Linked DNA regions of Arabidopsis thaliana. The protein of the gene in region 1 interacts with the protein of each later gene in a pairwise test. Each region holds a gene or a part of one and is shown on either strand. Other genes may lie near its edges.

Region 1 (6,110 bases):
TCCTTAACTCTTGATATCATCATTTTGTGTATGAAGCTAAACCAAATGTAAATCAGAAAATTCATGCCTGCCAGAATTTGATGGTGTTTGAAGGAACATAAACTTTTAGTGTCAATAAGGAAAATTGGATCAAATTTGGTTGGCTTCTTATCATTCAGTAAATGAAACCGGTTAACTCAAACAACATCAAACGTAGTAACCTCATTACTTAATAACCAAAAGAGCCGGTTTTAAAACTTTTTGTTGTAACCTCATCCTCTGAAGAGAGATGCAAACTAACAATAATGGTTTTAGACCACTATCCAACAATCAAGTTTTGAGCCATTTTGCGACTCTTTTCTTCTTTTTTTGGAAAATTATCATTGGCTATGGAATAGAATGAAGAAAAATCAAAGAAAAGTAAGACAGCTGTATGTAACCTTGAGATCTGACAAGAGATAGAAAGAAATAGAGAGAGGGGACCATTCTTTAAAGGTGACAACCTTTTTTCCCATTTTGGTTTCATCCTTTTCTTACACTTTGCTATCCTTTTTTATTATTATCATTCATGTCTTCTTCAACATTCCCTTTTTCTTCTGTCATGCCCCCAAAATCATAGAGGTTTCTTTTACCTCATTGATCTTTTCACATAACCAGATTCATCATGAGCTACATTTATTGTATGTACATCAATCATATACATTTGAACAAGAAGGTTACAAGGAAGGAACAAAAGAAGAAGAAAAGATAACAGAATTTTAAAATGTAGAATGGATATGATTCAGGCTGTCTTTTTCTTTTTTATGCTGCAATTTACTTTCGGATGTCTAGCCACTACTTCCAATCTCATCTTATCCCATCTCATGTAAAGTGTTGCTTCTTTATATAACTTCTCCATAAGAAACCAAAGTTTTCTTTCCGAAAGATATTATAGCCAAAAATCGACAAATTATGGACAAAAATTCATACCTTCACACTATTGATCTGAAAAGAAAGAGACTTGCTCTGCTTTCAACTTCCTTCATTTAGACCAACAAGAGTGTCTTCATCTACTAATCTAATGTCCTATTCTTTTTTACTTATTAAAGACTACATCACACTCAAGTTCGGTGGATCTCCTACACTCTTGTTTAAAGTAGACAGTTATTTGACACTAGACATCAAATTCTCTTTTGCTCCTTTTTCATAAAATCTTGAAATCTAGTATTGAGGAAGATTCTATGAAAAGAAGTCAAAAACCATTTCTCTGATATTTATATAGGGATCCGTGGATCATGGGCCAAAACTCTTACTAAGTATCAGAGCTTGCATCCACTAAACAAATTTTAAAAGAAACCCATAATTCTAAACTCTAAACTCCAAAAGAAGCAACACATGCAAACCCTGTCTATGGAAAGTGACTCTTCATCTATGGGGCCAAAAGAAGAGACTAAGAAACACAAGAGAAATGATTGTTTCAAATTCCATTTGCTAGTCAAAAGAAAGTTTATAACCACAGAGATTGGGAAGATAATACTTCTAATAAACGCTAAACCAAACAATATGATGATTGATGTAGATGGATAGAGCACTGTTCCTCTTTGGGATTGGCAAACAAAATGAGATATTTCTTGGGGAAAGCATTAAACCCACATGGAATAAAGGGCAAACAAAAGACTTTAGCTTCAAGTGGGGTTAAAGGTTTCCAACACAAGAACATAAATAAAGGACAAGTAATTGTAGAACAAGTTACAACAAACAAGATGTGAGCTCATGTAGCTAGAGCTAAACATTGTAAAACAGAATTGAACTTACAGAACGTTCTCTAATTGATACAAGATGAATTCAAATTAACCAAGGCCTAGGCTTTTAAAGACTTAAGAAGAACCTGAAACTGTTGATCAGATTTATAGGCCATTTGGATATTCGAAACACACAACAACGAAAACCGCCTTCACTATTCCACGCATTCGAAGCGCCCTGAAACGTTAAAAACAATGTAAGTTATCAATTTGATGAATGGTTAAAAGACAAGACTTTCACAAATGGGTGTTGTTTTCGAAAAACTTCAAACCTGGAATATGAAAAGAAACCTGTTGTGTTGCACAATCTTATGTGTTTTTGGAACTTGTTTAATGGCGAGAATCGGATGAAGCAGAGGACGGCTTGTTGTCGCCGCCGTGCTCCTCTTGTTCGCCTTGAAACCGTGCTGGTATACGAAAACCGGAGAATTCACCACTTGAAGCAAATGCAATGCCTGGAATAGCAGATTGGTGAATCCCGGGAGGGATATGGTAGGGATGATGATGGTGGAGATCGTCAGTGGTCATGGACTGCTGATGATGATGATGATGATGGTGAGGATCAAACCAAGCACGAATCATAGGTGTGTTAATGGACTGAAGGGGACCCCTCTGTGATAAAAGCTGACTTTGGCTATAAACTGGATGCAACGACGACGGAGAAGCAAACACAAATCCTCCGGTACTTCCGGCGGATTCAGCTGCTCCGACGTTGTTCCATGACACTAGTCTCTGTATCTTTCCAAATTCCGGTGACTGATGACTCTGTTCCCAGCTTGCCGTCGATGAGTCAAACGCTAACTGATTATTGCTCTGGCCGGAGAACAGAGCAGGTTCTGTTTGATTAGGAAAAGGTGGACCATTTTGGAAAGATTGAAGCGAGAGACGAAGAAGATCTTGGTTCTGTGTATTGCCTCGTGACGGTGGCTGATGATGATAGCTCTGTTGCGTTGAAGCTACCGGAAAAAACGACTTTATAGTGTCAGCTATCGAATCAGAATCCATTGACGCCGGAAGAAAACTCGATTCGTTATCTTCTTCTTCTCCGATTCGATGATGCTCTGTTTCTTCCGGTTGTGGCGGTGGCGGAGAAATTAAAGTTTTGGTTTTTCTGGGTTTAGCGTTAGCAGCAGCGGCGGCGTGTTGACGAAGAGTATCGGCGGGGTTCCAAGGAGGAAGCTGAGCAAGATCATCAATGGCGGATTTAGCTTTAGTAATAAGCCAATCAACAGCTTTACTTGGTCGATCAAAACCAAGTCTATCTTGAACATCGTAGAATTGAATCGCCGTCGGAGCTGAGAGTCTCACGCGCCGGTCACGTGGTCCTTTCGCTGTACATACTTTACTATGTCTGTCTTTTCTTCCTGTTGACCGAACAATGTGACCTCCTTGTACCTCCACAATCTCGCCGCAACCACCACCGTTCTCCGTCGCTGATTGGTGGTGTCTCATCTCTAGAAGAGGCGGCGACGGAGAATCTAAGAAATGGTCGTTATCTGGTGCCATTGATGAAGCATATTGTGGAAATTCAAGGTCGTTGATGGTGGTGGTGGTTGGATTATGACGGCGGCGGCGACGGCGGTCGTTAACCGCCGAGGAATCCAGAGTCGTTCGATTTATTTAATTCAACATTTTGCCTCTCCTCCAAATCCCAAACCCTAAACACGCCAACAAATCAAAGATGAAGAAGAAGAAGAAGAAGAAGACGTAATTGAATTTTGCAGACTAACCCATGACTAAATTTCTCTTCTTTTGTCTAAAGATTGTTTCTTTTTTAGAATTTGTCTCTGTTTCTGAGAATTCAAGAAGCAAAAACAGAGGAAGCAAGAAGAGAGAGAAGAGATAGAGAGATGTGGAATTGACTAAACGAGAATCCAGGAAAGCTCTTTTTAATTTTTTGTTTCTGGCCGGAAAATTTACAGTAACGGTAAAAAAAGGAAGAGATTTTGGGGTTTGGGGAAGAGAGGGAAATGGTAATGGAAGGAGTGTGTTTGGTCATAAAAAGAGCTCTCTGATACTCATCATCATCACTTGTGCTTTTATTTCATTTTTAAAGTGTTTTCTTATTTTATATTATATATTTTATGGTTTTTCTAAATGAAAAACAAAAAGCTTTTGTCCGATTCATCATGTGGAAATATTTTACATGACATTTCGAATTGTATTAGCTATATACATTACAATGGATATATTTTGGTAGAGGTTACTGTAAGAATATCAACACATATACATAGTCCTCTTAGGTTTGGTTCTGACTACCACTATTTTTTTTTGTTAAAGATGATAGAAACTATAAGCACTAATAAACCCAAATTTTACCAAGTCAAAGATTGTTCTGTACTGTGTTAGAAAATATTAATACAGAACTTTTGAGGTAGTAAAGGTTTTGGGTTGTTGGAAAAAAAGACAATACAAGAAGATTTCTTTTATAATAAAAACTAAAAAGTAAAGCTTTTAGATCTGTTGGAGAGTTGGAGACACTAATAATTGGGCGGTATAAACTAATATTGATGGTATTATTTTAAACAAATAAAGTATTATTTTCATCGAATCAAATTGTATTGGTTTTAGAGGTTACACCCTGTAAAATGCATCACCAGTATCCGTAGGATTCGACAGTATCCCTATAATCAACCATTGTCTATGCTCCTTTCCACTATCTGTTCTCGAACTCCACTGTTCGTCAATCCCACTTTTAATTAACCAAACGTAGTAAAGTTTCAGATGGAAAACGAAAATAATAGAGATACATACTTGTACATAGTTTTAGTTTAAAATTAACTTGAATTTCCTTTAAACAAAGATAAAAATGTGTATATATACGTAATTTGGTAACTCAATCAGTTTTTTTTTTCTTTTTTGTTAACAAGGAAATCCCGAGCATTTGACATACTAATACAAGTATGGTATGTGATTAAATATGAACATTTTAGGTGTGATTCATGTAGAGATTTCAAGAGAGATATAAGAAGAAATATGTGATTGTAGATAGGAGATTTATGTTTTTTGTAAGTGCGTTTCCTACTCATCGAGCCAATCTGCATTGAATCCATAATTTTTTCTTTTACCTTCCCAAGAGAAGAAATTATCAAAACATCGTTCTACGACATGCAACATCAAATTTAAAGGCACGAAATATCGCACGGTTCACTGGTTTAGGACACAATCAATTATTGTTTTCCATTTTTTTGTCATTACCACAAATTCTCTTTCTAACTACTTCTCCATTATACACACCGACCATGCATGTACTGTATTTTTAATTAAATACCCGTAGTCATACGAACTTTTCTGATATATAATGTATTTGGTACCATATTCTTGATCATCAAATAATGACAATGCACACATAAAAAGATGACGTATCGATATGTAAGGCAAAGATGGAATCAAATTTCAAATAAATGTTTCCCATTGCACCTACTCAACCAAGTGTAGTCTAAATAAATTTACGAATATACCCTATAGGCTTTTAGTGTTTTTCGATCGCATGTGTGTCAGTAAGTACACTCCCCATCACCCTCATAGTCATTTCCTCTTATCTCTCTCTCTTAAGTTATTTTCCCCAATATTTATTCCTTTCATTTATTTTTGTCAACTTGTTTTTCCGATAAAGAAATAAACACAATTTTTTCTGTCAATTTCCTAGTTTTATTTCGTTTATTTCCATTGTCTTATTTTTTTCCGTAATAAAAGAAATTAAAGCACTGTGAAAAGTTATAAATTCATTCTTCCATTCCCTTTCAAAATGATTAGTTTGTATTAAGTCATTTTCAGGGGAATTGTAGTAAAATATTTTATTTTTATTCGTCTTTATAATTTTACATAAACTGATTATTTGATTTGTTTACAAGAGTTAGATGGTCAAATAGTGTTTCCTCTAACATGAACAGTTTTAAAGGGCAATACACAAAAACACTAACGGTAATTGTTAGAGTTAATGAGTCTATTAGGGTCTTCTTGTATAAATCTAATACATTATACATGAGTACACAAAAGAAAGAATAAAGAATATATGGTACTAATCATATATCGAGGCATATTATTTGGTTTACGTGAAAAGGGATATAGAAAGGACGAATGTGGATCCAATAATCCGTTTTGCAATTTTAGTGAAAAAAATATAAGAAAGGAAGAATGTTGACACGGATGATAAATATGCATGTGCCATGTTAAAAAAAAAAAAAGTGAAAGGACGATGCTTTAATTCAGTTTTCTGGTACCCTTTTTGTCTAGAAATAAAATATTATTGTTACTTTTGTGTAACTACTGTAAAAGTAAATTGTAATAAAAGTCACAATAACCAAAAGAAGAAAAGAGAGGGCAAAAAAGAAGATGAAACTTGGGTTA
Region 2 (5,179 bases), on another chromosome or scaffold:
TTTTGTTATACGTCATAGTGACATCACTCTCCAGCGTAAAAACTAACTTCCGACTGAAACTGGATTCGGTTCGTCGTTATCGGTATCGAATCAACAATGTCGAATCCTGCAGCCGTCACCGCCGGCAGAGGATCAATCACTCACGTCATATTCGACATGGACGGTCTTCTTCTCGGTAATCTCCTTGCATCTGATCTTCAATCTCCAGCTTTATTAGATCGTACTACTGTCACTATCGTTGTTTAGATTTGATGGTTTTTTTAGTAGTGACTGTTTAGTTTCCAGGATTGATTTCATACAATTGATGTTAAGATGCTAAAGCAATTAGCTTGAATCTGATCGGAAATCGAGCGATTGAGTTTTTGTTCTGTGTATTCAAAATCTCACAACTTCATTGGCTTATCTGCTCTTGCTGCATACATTCATGCTGATTTGGTTTCTGTTGCAGATACTGAGAAGTTTTACACTGAGGTCCAAGAGATTATACTTGCTAGGTTCAATAAAAAGTTTGATTGGTCTCTCAAGGCTAAAATGATGGGTAGAAAAGCAATAGAAGCTGCCAGGATCTTTGTTGAAGAAAGCGGGATTAGCGACTCTCTTTCAGCTGAGGACTTTCTTGTCGAGAGAGAGTCAATGTTGCAAGACCTTTTCCCTACTAGTGAGCTCATGCCAGGTAGATTCTGCTTTTTGTAACACATGACATTTGGTTCACAGGAAGATTACATGTACGGATATTTATGTTTTTGATGTGGTCATGAACCAATTCTCTTCCACATTTTCAGGGGCTAGTAGACTCATTAAGCATCTCCATGTAAAGAATATTCCAATATGTATTGCTACCGGGTAATCTCTTCACCTCATCTCATAATATACCATTTAGTTTGCATTCTCATTGTCCTTTACAATCCAGAAACTGACTTGTTATGTTTGATTGTACGCTTGCAGTACTCACACACGGCATTATGATCTGAAAACCCAAAGACACAGAGAGCTTTTCTCATTGATGCATCACGTAGTTCGTGGTGATGATCCAGAGGTGAAGCAAGGAAAGCCTGCTCCTGACGGGTTTCTCGCTGCTGCTAGGAGATTTAAGGTAACTAACAGGCAACAGTCTCCAAGATTCTCCATTACTAACTAGTTCATATTTAAAATGAGTTGTAGACTAATGTTTCCTCTTCGTCTGGATTCCTTAGGACGGTCCTGTGGATTCACAAAAGGTTCTGGTGTTTGAAGATGCTCCATCTGGAGTTCTTGCTGCTAAAAACGCCGGAATGTAAGTGGGTTTCTCTTCATGTAAAAGCCAATAAAAACCGAGAAACAAGTTTATACATCTTGATGTCTATCTACAGGAACGTGGTTATGGTACCGGATCCTAGACTAGATATCTCTCACCAAGATGTTGCAGATCAAATCATAACCTCTCTAGTCGATTTTAAACCGGAAGAGTGGGGCTTGCCTCCATTCGAAGATTCGAACTAAACGATACAAACGTCTTCAAGGTAATGATAAAAACTCAAATCATGAAGCTTATTCTTTGTCTTGTTATATTGTTTTGGCATGTACATGACAAAGGCCATGAGGCTTTATGTCGTCAAGGGTTCTATGATTTTCTGGCTATTGAAGACATAAAAAGAAACTAAGTGGTGACATGACGAGAGACCAAACAAAAAAATTTGCCTCAACGTTTAAACAAATTATTTTTGTACAACTACTCTTACCCACAAGTTTCAACATTGGCTTATCTTATTTTGTTCTTGTCGGTATAGCTGAATTGATTCCTTCTTTATGGTTTGGAATCTCTCTTCTTTACGCATCACTAACATGTGTTGTTACTGCAACGTTTCATGTTTTACACTATAATTAAGAAAAATAGGTTATATTTAGTATTACAACTTTTTTTTTATTTTTCATTTCGTACGTGAACAAAGAAGCAAACACATCCAATGATGATTTTACAGTAATGCCATTAGGATTCAACCGACATCGGCTGTTACAAAACATCGTATGACATCGTTGCAAAAACGGTCTTTCTCCTCCTCACTCGTTTCTTTTAACTTGTCTTGTGTTTCCCTTGACCGGCAAGATTCGAATTCTCTTCGCTACACGAACAAAGTCCCTGTGTCAACAAGCAAATTTTCTCGTTAACGTCCAAGTATTAAAATATTGCCAGTTAAAGATCACGAAACCTTCAAAATCTAATTATACTAAACATTGAACGAAAACCGTAATTTTTAAGAAAGATATATAACGGTATCAAACAAAATAACTATAGCCAGCAAAATTGAGTATACAGAATAAGGATAGCAACAAAATATCATTTCACTAAATTATTGATATTTGTCTTTTTAGAAAAGCAGAGAACATGTGTTTTCTTGGCAGCTTGAAAAACTTGTGTTTGTAGTATTTTACCGTTAGGGGAAAAAAAATTAATATAGTTTTCCTATGTTTAAAATAAGGCTCGTTTTATATATAGTTTGTATATATATGGCCATCCTGACAATAATAAAGAAAATTAATGTTAGGGGAGGAAAATTACTTCCAAGTAAGATCTCCGGCAAGAAGGAGATCGTTCTCCATGTCTTCATAAGCAATAAGATGGCCAGGAATGGCGTTTGACAGATCAAGATCGTCCGTTGAATCAGCTCCATCGACAAACATTTGCCTTAGAGCCGAAGCCAAGCTCTGATAACTCCCATGCTTGTCTAGGCTTATGCGTTGACATATAGAACGTCCCTCTAGCACAACCGTAACCGGAGGAACCACCGATGAAACAAGATCGTCCTCTACGTTAAGCCCAAAGCCTTGGAATGATCTCCCGGCCGCTCCAGAGCTGGAGTTGCTATTATTATGGTTTTTGGAAGCCGGTTTGGGTATGAAAGGTGTCGTGGTGTCACGAGGTTGTTGTGTGGTGCTGTTGTCTTGATGAAACCTTCTTTGCAAAGAGTCTTGGCTTTGTGGCTCGAAACTATTCATATTGAGAGTAGGGTTTTAGGGCTTTTGTAACTTAGAGAAGACAACGGACGCTTACATGGAACTCAAAGTGTTTCGTGTTTTTTTGTTAAGCTAGAGAGAGACTGTGTGTTTGATGAGATTCTGGTGAAAGTGAATGTATGTACATATAAATAGATAGAGAAAGCGTAAATTGTGTGGCAAACAAAAAGGTGTCTTTTATTTTTCATTTTTCAATTTTCGTTTGGTTTAATGTTGTCTTAAATGTTTCATTTAATTTGAAAGTACATCTGCTCTTTGGATTTCTCGTTAGACAATGAATCCTCAATTAACAATCAATTTAATATTTAATTATTCAATGAACAATTGGATTCACGTAAAAATGTTCTCACATGCTTATGTATTAAATGTGTTTTTACAATTATTGTATTTTGCTAACTTATTCTACTATATATCTATCACTGCGACTGTGAGAGTAATAAGAGCTGTTACAGGAAATGTTCCAAGGTTTCACTAATTTTGACCATATATTACCAGCAAGGTATTAGGTATTTATGTATACAAGTATAAAGAAATTTTAAAATAAAAATGTTTGGAAATGTTTACGTGGACAAAAAGAAAGCTGATGGGAAAACATAAAAACAGTGAAAAAGAGTCAATATAATAAGAAATGTGAATTAGCTAGAAAACTCCAAATTAATTAAAGACATTATAAATTGGTGATTAATTAAATAATGAAAGAAGGTATCATAGAAAAAGAGATCTTGTAAATTGTAACGCATGGGCTGCGGAGACGACCGCGCTGCCGTCGCCGAACGCCTCGCTTCCTTGACTCGCGCCTGGTCGGGAGTTCCACGTCATTTTCTTTTCATACACTAATACACACATCAAGCATACATACGAAGAATATAAAAATTGTATTAACCGGTAAACACACGCATATATCCACACGACCACACATCAACGTCATATAGAATATACATGCATAGCCATTTATCCATGTAACATCACATACACACACATGAATACGTTTAACGTTTGATCTCATACTTCTCGGATTTAACTCGGTTTGACGAAAGTAAAACAAAGTATTAGACCTTGGTCCAAAATGTAGACATCACCCCTCTAATAATAATGAAAACTCATGTTATTTGGGAGGAGTTGTTTAGAGTGATTAGATCCAAGAAAATATGTGAACTTAATTAGAAATTTCTTAGATCAAAAAAGAGGGAAAAAAAGAAGAATTGCACTCTAAACTCATACAATATAATCCAAAGTCTTTTCGGTTATAGATTTTGGTGTACGGAACTTATCTGAAAATAAATAAATAACAAGTTTGTTCGAGCTACCTAAAATTAGTTGATTCCAATTCAAGTCATTTTAAAACATTATACACGATTTTAAAATCGCAAATAATTAAGTTGAGTGACCAAATGTATAGGTAAATCATGTATGAGTCAAATAACTGTGCCTAAAATTGTAATTTTATGCTAAAATGTTGATTTTCATATGGACTATTAAATGAAAAATTAACGGTGGATCCAACAAGCAATAGGTGAATAAGCTAAAGCAAACCCAAGAAGACATAAAACGAAGCACAAGAAGCATATTTTCTTAAGTTTGAAGCAAACAATAATTTACTCTATACATTTAAATTTCAACTCGGGATTCGAATTAGAAGACTCGAAGATCCGACATGGAGGCATGGAAATATTTAAAACTTACCTCGGTTTCATAGATCTCAATTTAGGACTATAGTTTAACACATTACTACGTCTACATGTTATATTTAATCATCTAATTAATTTGTCTCGATTTTTGTTTTTTTTCGATTCTACAGACATACGTTAATGTTTGCTTATTCCACTCCCCGATAATAATCAAAATTTAAATAACAATCAAACACTTACCCGCTGTTTTGGTCTGTTTCTAACCAAACAATGATAATCATTTTGTCATGCTCATCCAACATTAGCACAAGTCTAAACAGGCCTTACACATCAGCTCAATAAAGCCTTAATAGGCCCAATTAAAACAGTATGGGCCCACATTCTTCCTTCTCTTAAAGCCTAAACAGTTGGCGCGTCAAAATCACGTGGAGGAGCACTGAAGCCAGTAGGTGTCTCTTCACAGGATCATTTCCTTAAAGCTCATTATCACAAAAACAAATCCTTTTGATTATTATTACTGAAATAAAAAGCAAAGTGAAAAAGGTTTTAAAAACTTTTAT
Region 3 (5,394 bases), 9.9 Mb from region 1:
TCGCTTGTGTTAGTGAAAAATCAATTCAAAACTTTGGGTTGCTACATTACTTTTTTTTTATATGGGCTTAACTGTTTATTTTAGTCCTTCCTTGCGTGTCTCTTGTCGTTTTCATAAACCTTATACCTAAGGTTTATATAATTATTTGACAAAACAAACAAAAAAGTCTTATAACAATTTAGTGCTATTTTTCTTGAAAGTGTGGCGGCAGTGGCCGACCATCAATTTTTGAGGTTTATAATCAATAATGCCTTTTGTGTGTATGAAATGGTTCGAAGATATGTGTCCAAAATAAGTCCCAACAAACTATCCGCGGTTTTGGAAATTATTGGTTTCTGGTTTACAATTTCTGAGTTTTTAACTTTTTGCTCTATGTGAGTATATTGTGTGCCTATTTAACCCATGAATTTAGGTAATAAGGCTAATCTCTTCAAAAATTATTCCTTTAGCTCAAAAAAATTCAAGAGGAACTAATCGTTAGTTTTATGTATCCCATTTGATTTCTTCATCTCCGAGAATCAACAAATTCAAAATGAAGGATTTCTGAGATTTGATATAGAACTGATAGGCTAAGAAAATCAAGATTATTTCTGTCAAAAAAATTATATAAGCTAATTGAAATCTAGTTATATTATATAAGATAATTGAAAGGCAATGGACATTGTTGACAATTGACAGTAATCTTTTTTTTTGGGGGGGGAGCAATAAACATTAATATTTGGGCCAAAAGAATTGATGGGCTGTTTAGCAATCGAGGTCCAAGTTCAGTTTTGTTAACGTTGATACAGATATTGTAGGTAAAGTATGTATATGGAAATGAGATATATATCGAGCAAACCTATACTCATGGACTACTGTATTCATCTAACATTTTGCCATTATTGATCCGACTTATACAAAAGACAGTTAGATGCTACACTACTCTTAACTTCACCCATACAAATCGACCATACAAGCTTTCTCTGGCCAGTACAAAAAATAAGGCTCCCTATGAATCTCTCAAGCCAAAAAAATTGATACTCACATAGAGGACAAAACTCTCTCATTGCAGAACATAACATTTAACCATAAGAAATGGCCAGTATCCATATAGGATTGCAGCCGATAATCAGACGTTATGTTTTTAGCAATGAGACTACCGCCTCTATCTAATGTCAGGCTTTCCCCAACAAGTTTCCATTCCCCAAACTGATATAGAATAAAGAGGAAATCCAAAGATTAGTATCTGAAAGATGGCTAACCTCTCGACGACTCGACCTATTTATAGTTCCTACCAAAACGTGTATAAACTATCGGTTAGGAGTTTGTCCAAAAGAAAAATTATGGGTTAGGAGAAATAAGTAACTATACATGTATAAATGACTTTCTCTTTATTTAGATATATTAAAAGACACAATATCTATGTTTTATTTTTCTATAATAGACTTTTGGTCAATGATAAGTTAAAATACATTCGCATATAAAAAATCGTACATTCATATATAGAAAAGATAACAAATATTATAATCTAAGAATGAAAACCGTACAATTCATTTTCCATATTGGCAAAAATGAAAATTAAATAAGAAATGATCATATAAGTTATCGATATACAAAATTTCATCTTAATTAAAAAAAAAAAAAAATTCAGGTAAATTGAGTTTTAACGAAAAAAAAAAATAGTGTGTTATACACGGTATAGACTACACCCAAATACAATTTAGATAAACAATCTATATTTTTCTTAAAACAACGATTAACATAAGATATCTACGAATGCCACTTTCCATAACAACAAGAAACAATACAACAAAACGATAACTTATTATTTTAGTTTTTGAATATAATATAAATTATAGATTGCTTATCTATAATTTATTAAAAATATATATATATATATAAATTAAAAAAAAAAAAAAAATTAGCGTTCTTACAACTAATGCCGTTATGTTTAACAATTTTACAAAGAAAAGTTAGAGCTTCTTGTCCTAGCTTGTGTTCCTTGATTCGAGCAAGATAACTTATTATTGCTTTTGTTCAAAACAGCAAATTTTATATTTGACCAATAATCTCATTATCCTGAATAAAGTATTATCTCCATTATATTTGTTTATTAAAAAAATAATTAAGAATCCTACTATTTCCTCAAATCCAATTGGATATAGGTAAAAAACATAAGATCAACAACCTTATATGTTCATCAGAGAGATTAATACCAAAACAAAGTATCATTTTAGTTGATCAGGATTATCATTAATGATATTTAAAAGAACATCAGCAGATCTGAACGAAACACGATCTCAACACTAAAAAATTCTTTAAAACTATCTGCTGATGACCAAAAAAAAAAAAAAAAATTATTGGCACCACTTAAACTTAAAGCTTCTACTTAGATGATGATCAAATAATACTCAATTCAGAAACATTTAATTATATCTAATAATCATAATTAAATCTTAATCAGTTCTCAGGTGGAGGAGGGAAATTAAGATCCAAGTCCAAAACCACACGTCGTCCTTCATATCTAACGACATCCATCACCACCGACGAAGAATCCGATTCACTCCTTTCATCGAACACCATCATCCCAGCCTTAACCTGAATCTTAGGAAAAGGGAATCTCGAACTAACAGAGTCAGATCCGAGGTTGAGATTAGGAAACGATGATTCCACGGTGCTGCTCTGGCTCAGGCTCTGTGTCAAACTCAAGCAGTGGGCGTTGATGTTGTAACAAGGGAAGTTGGTTTTGGCTTTAGCTCCACGAAACTCAATAGCACGTTTGTCGTAGGCACGAGCGGCTTCTTCAGGAGTGTCGAAAGTACCGAGCCAGACACGTGACTTCTTGAAAGGATCTCTGATCTCGGCTGCGTAACGTCCCCATGGTCTCTTCCTCACTCCTCTGTAACGGACTCCGTTACCTTCGTTGGTTTTGACGGCCGCCGTTTTAACTGTCGGTGCCATGACAACAACAAACAACAAGATTTGTTTATGTAAGAAAAATTGTTTATGTAAGAAAAAGAAACGCTGAGGAAGTTTGATGAGTTTGTTATGTGAAGAAGTTTGTGAGGACATCATTTATAAGGAGGAGACGACAAATATAAGTCAACAAAGGGGCGGCCGAGTGGCAGTTTTGGTAATTAAATCCATATTACGTGGCTTCTTTTTTTTGTCTCCACGAAAGAGGAAAGTGAGAGTGAAGAAGCTTTTTTTTTTTTTTTTTTCTTATTACTAAAAGACATTTTATCTATTTAGTGGTTATTTTCTTAAATGTTTTTATTTATTATGTTGATATTAATGTTTTTTTTTTATAGTTTGTTAATTTTTTGATTGATTTTATTTGGATTTTCTATATATTGCGTGTGGTGAGGAGCCCACGCGCTTGCTTGACACGTGTTGACTTGTGTTGTCTGCTTCTATTGGTTAGCAAACTGTAAACAGACACGATGTGTGATAATGATTTTAGATCTGTTATTTTTGATTAAATGCGAGTTTAATTTTGATATGTATATCTGTTTAATTATTTGTTACTAAAATCCGAGATTAAGTATGTTGTCATCTTTTATTTTTTAGAGGAAAGGATAAAAAGTAGTAGTTATTATTGAGTTTATATGGGTCTACCGTTTTTAATTTTAGGCTTTGCATGGAAACAATTTATATTTTGCTATAAAAAAATAAAAATAAAAATATGTTTTGCTTCTTTTTTTATTGTATATTGCTTGTCATATTTTGATTTTTTGTTTTGGAAAAATATACTTCAGAGTGTTTTTATTATTTATTCTTATTTTCTTATTAAAAATAAAGAAATAGGAAAACAACTTTCAATTGACTTATGGTGATGAAAACAACTTTCAATTGATTTTATAGAAAAATTAAAAAAAATATATTTATTATTACTAGAAATGATTCGTTAATGACATTCTCAAATTATAATTTATATTTCTGACAAAAAAAACTATATTTTCATCTAATTATTATTTTTTAAATCTGGTTTTTAAAAGAGATAATTTTAAGTGTATGATTTGATACAAAATTGAATCAGTTGCTTATTTTCAAAAAGAAACTTTCCTAATGTTCTTATAAATATCATAAATTTATCAACATAGTAATTATTTCAAACAAATTTTATCCTCAAATACAAATATAAGTAAAGATATGGAGAGTTGCATACCAATGTTTCTCTATATATATAAATTAACAAACATATGACATGTGTTATTATTTAATTATCAATTGAAATAATTATTATTAAATGAAATTATATATATCTTTAAGTATTAAAAATTTATCATGTATTGAGTAGTAAAGAAAACAAATACTGTATACAATTACTTATCTTCCTAATTATTGATAGTTGGCAAGCTGTCACGAGAGAAAATATTTCAAATTTTAATACAATCATATATTTTTACATCATATTTATGAATGATATGTTAACACTATATATAACACAGTAAATATAAATCTAACCATTTAAAAATTTATAACTATTTTAATAAGCTGAAAATATAATAATATCGTTATATATAGTATTATGTTAAATTTAAAATTTAATATGTTTATTTATATATTCCAATAAAATTTGCCGTCACAATAATCTTATCAAATATTTAATAACTACTAACGCGAATGGTAAAAATCAATTATTTGTTTACTGATAAAGCAAACGATACGAAAGAAAACAAACATATTCCAACCATGATATTTGTTAATTTGTTTTTTTATCAGATTAATTTTAAGTTGTTTTTATTATAAATTTTAATTTATTATAGATATGATGGTGGTGGTGTTTTGTTTAGGCAGCAGCGGCATAGCAAAGAAAAAAGACAGCGCTGTAATTTATAGAATTTAAAGATCAAAGGATTTTAATACCATGTAAGATGAAAGAATCTTTTGTCATTCTAGATGGTATGACTGAATTGAGAAAGATCTTATTTGAGTAAATATACAATTAAAAAAAGTATAGATATACACAAACAAATCATAATATATTCTAACAAGTTCTATTTAAAGAATTAGTCCTCCAAATTGTTTAATTCTATTTTTTTCATAGCTTGGTAAACGAAGTTGAGGTTGCGTAGCTATTCATAAATTTAGGTTGGTGTTTATCTTTTTAAAATATTCACCCAAATTTAACTATGTGTTTATATTGATGATTCAAAACGAAAATATTTTTTTTGAAAACTCTTCTTCTTCCAAAAAAACAGAAAATCGTAGCCAATATTGCAAATACTGCAAATACTTAAACTGGTCTCACATGCGGCTGCGGATGGCTTGACGAAGCACACATGCAGCCTTTACGCTCAATAATTGGTAGAACAATTAAACCATATCTTAAAAACAAATATATGTATTTTTTTTTTAAAACAAAGAATGATTACTTACTTATGTGTTACTTAAAACAGACACATTTTGACA

Evidence for each region. Proteins that work in one complex are often made in the same cells at the same time.
Region 2: the proteins of TCP3 (region 1) and IAA33 interact in binary tests that used the Arabidopsis thaliana proteins (3 or more experiments, as listed by UniProt).
Region 3: the proteins of TCP3 (region 1) and ERF11 interact in binary tests that used the Arabidopsis thaliana proteins (3 or more experiments, as listed by UniProt).

What each region holds. Positions count from the first base shown.
Region 1 is NC_003070.9:19,848,170-19,854,279, forward strand, and holds TCP3 (TEOSINTE BRANCHED 1, cycloidea and PCF transcription factor 3), read right to left. Parts: upstream 3,557-6,110; 5' UTR 3,267-3,556; coding exon 2,091-3,266; 3' UTR 2,033-2,090; exon of another isoform or gene 2,032-2,032; intron 1,939-2,031; 3' UTR 1,619-1,938; downstream 1-1,618. UniProt on the Arabidopsis thaliana protein: Plays a pivotal role in the control of morphogenesis of shoot organs by negatively regulating the expression of boundary-specific genes such as CUC genes, probably through the induction of miRNA (e.g. miR164). Participates in ovule development.
Region 2 is NC_003076.8:23,267,818-23,272,996, reverse strand, and holds IAA33 (indole-3-acetic acid inducible 33), read right to left. Parts: upstream 3,084-5,179; 5' UTR 2,974-3,083; coding exon 2,537-2,973; intron 2,117-2,536; coding exon 2,038-2,116; 3' UTR 1,905-2,037; downstream 1-1,904. Other genes in the region: GS1 (Haloacid dehalogenase-like hydrolase (HAD) superfamily protein), read left to right, coding at 97-175, 449-673, 783-843, 946-1,093, 1,194-1,273, 1,350-1,479. UniProt on the Arabidopsis thaliana protein: Aux/IAA proteins are short-lived transcriptional factors that function as repressors of early auxin response genes at low auxin concentrations.
Region 3 is NC_003070.9:9,953,912-9,959,305, forward strand, and holds ERF11 (ERF domain protein 11), read right to left. Parts: upstream 3,070-5,394; 5' UTR 3,055-3,069; coding exon 2,440-3,054; 3' UTR 1,905-2,439; downstream 1-1,904.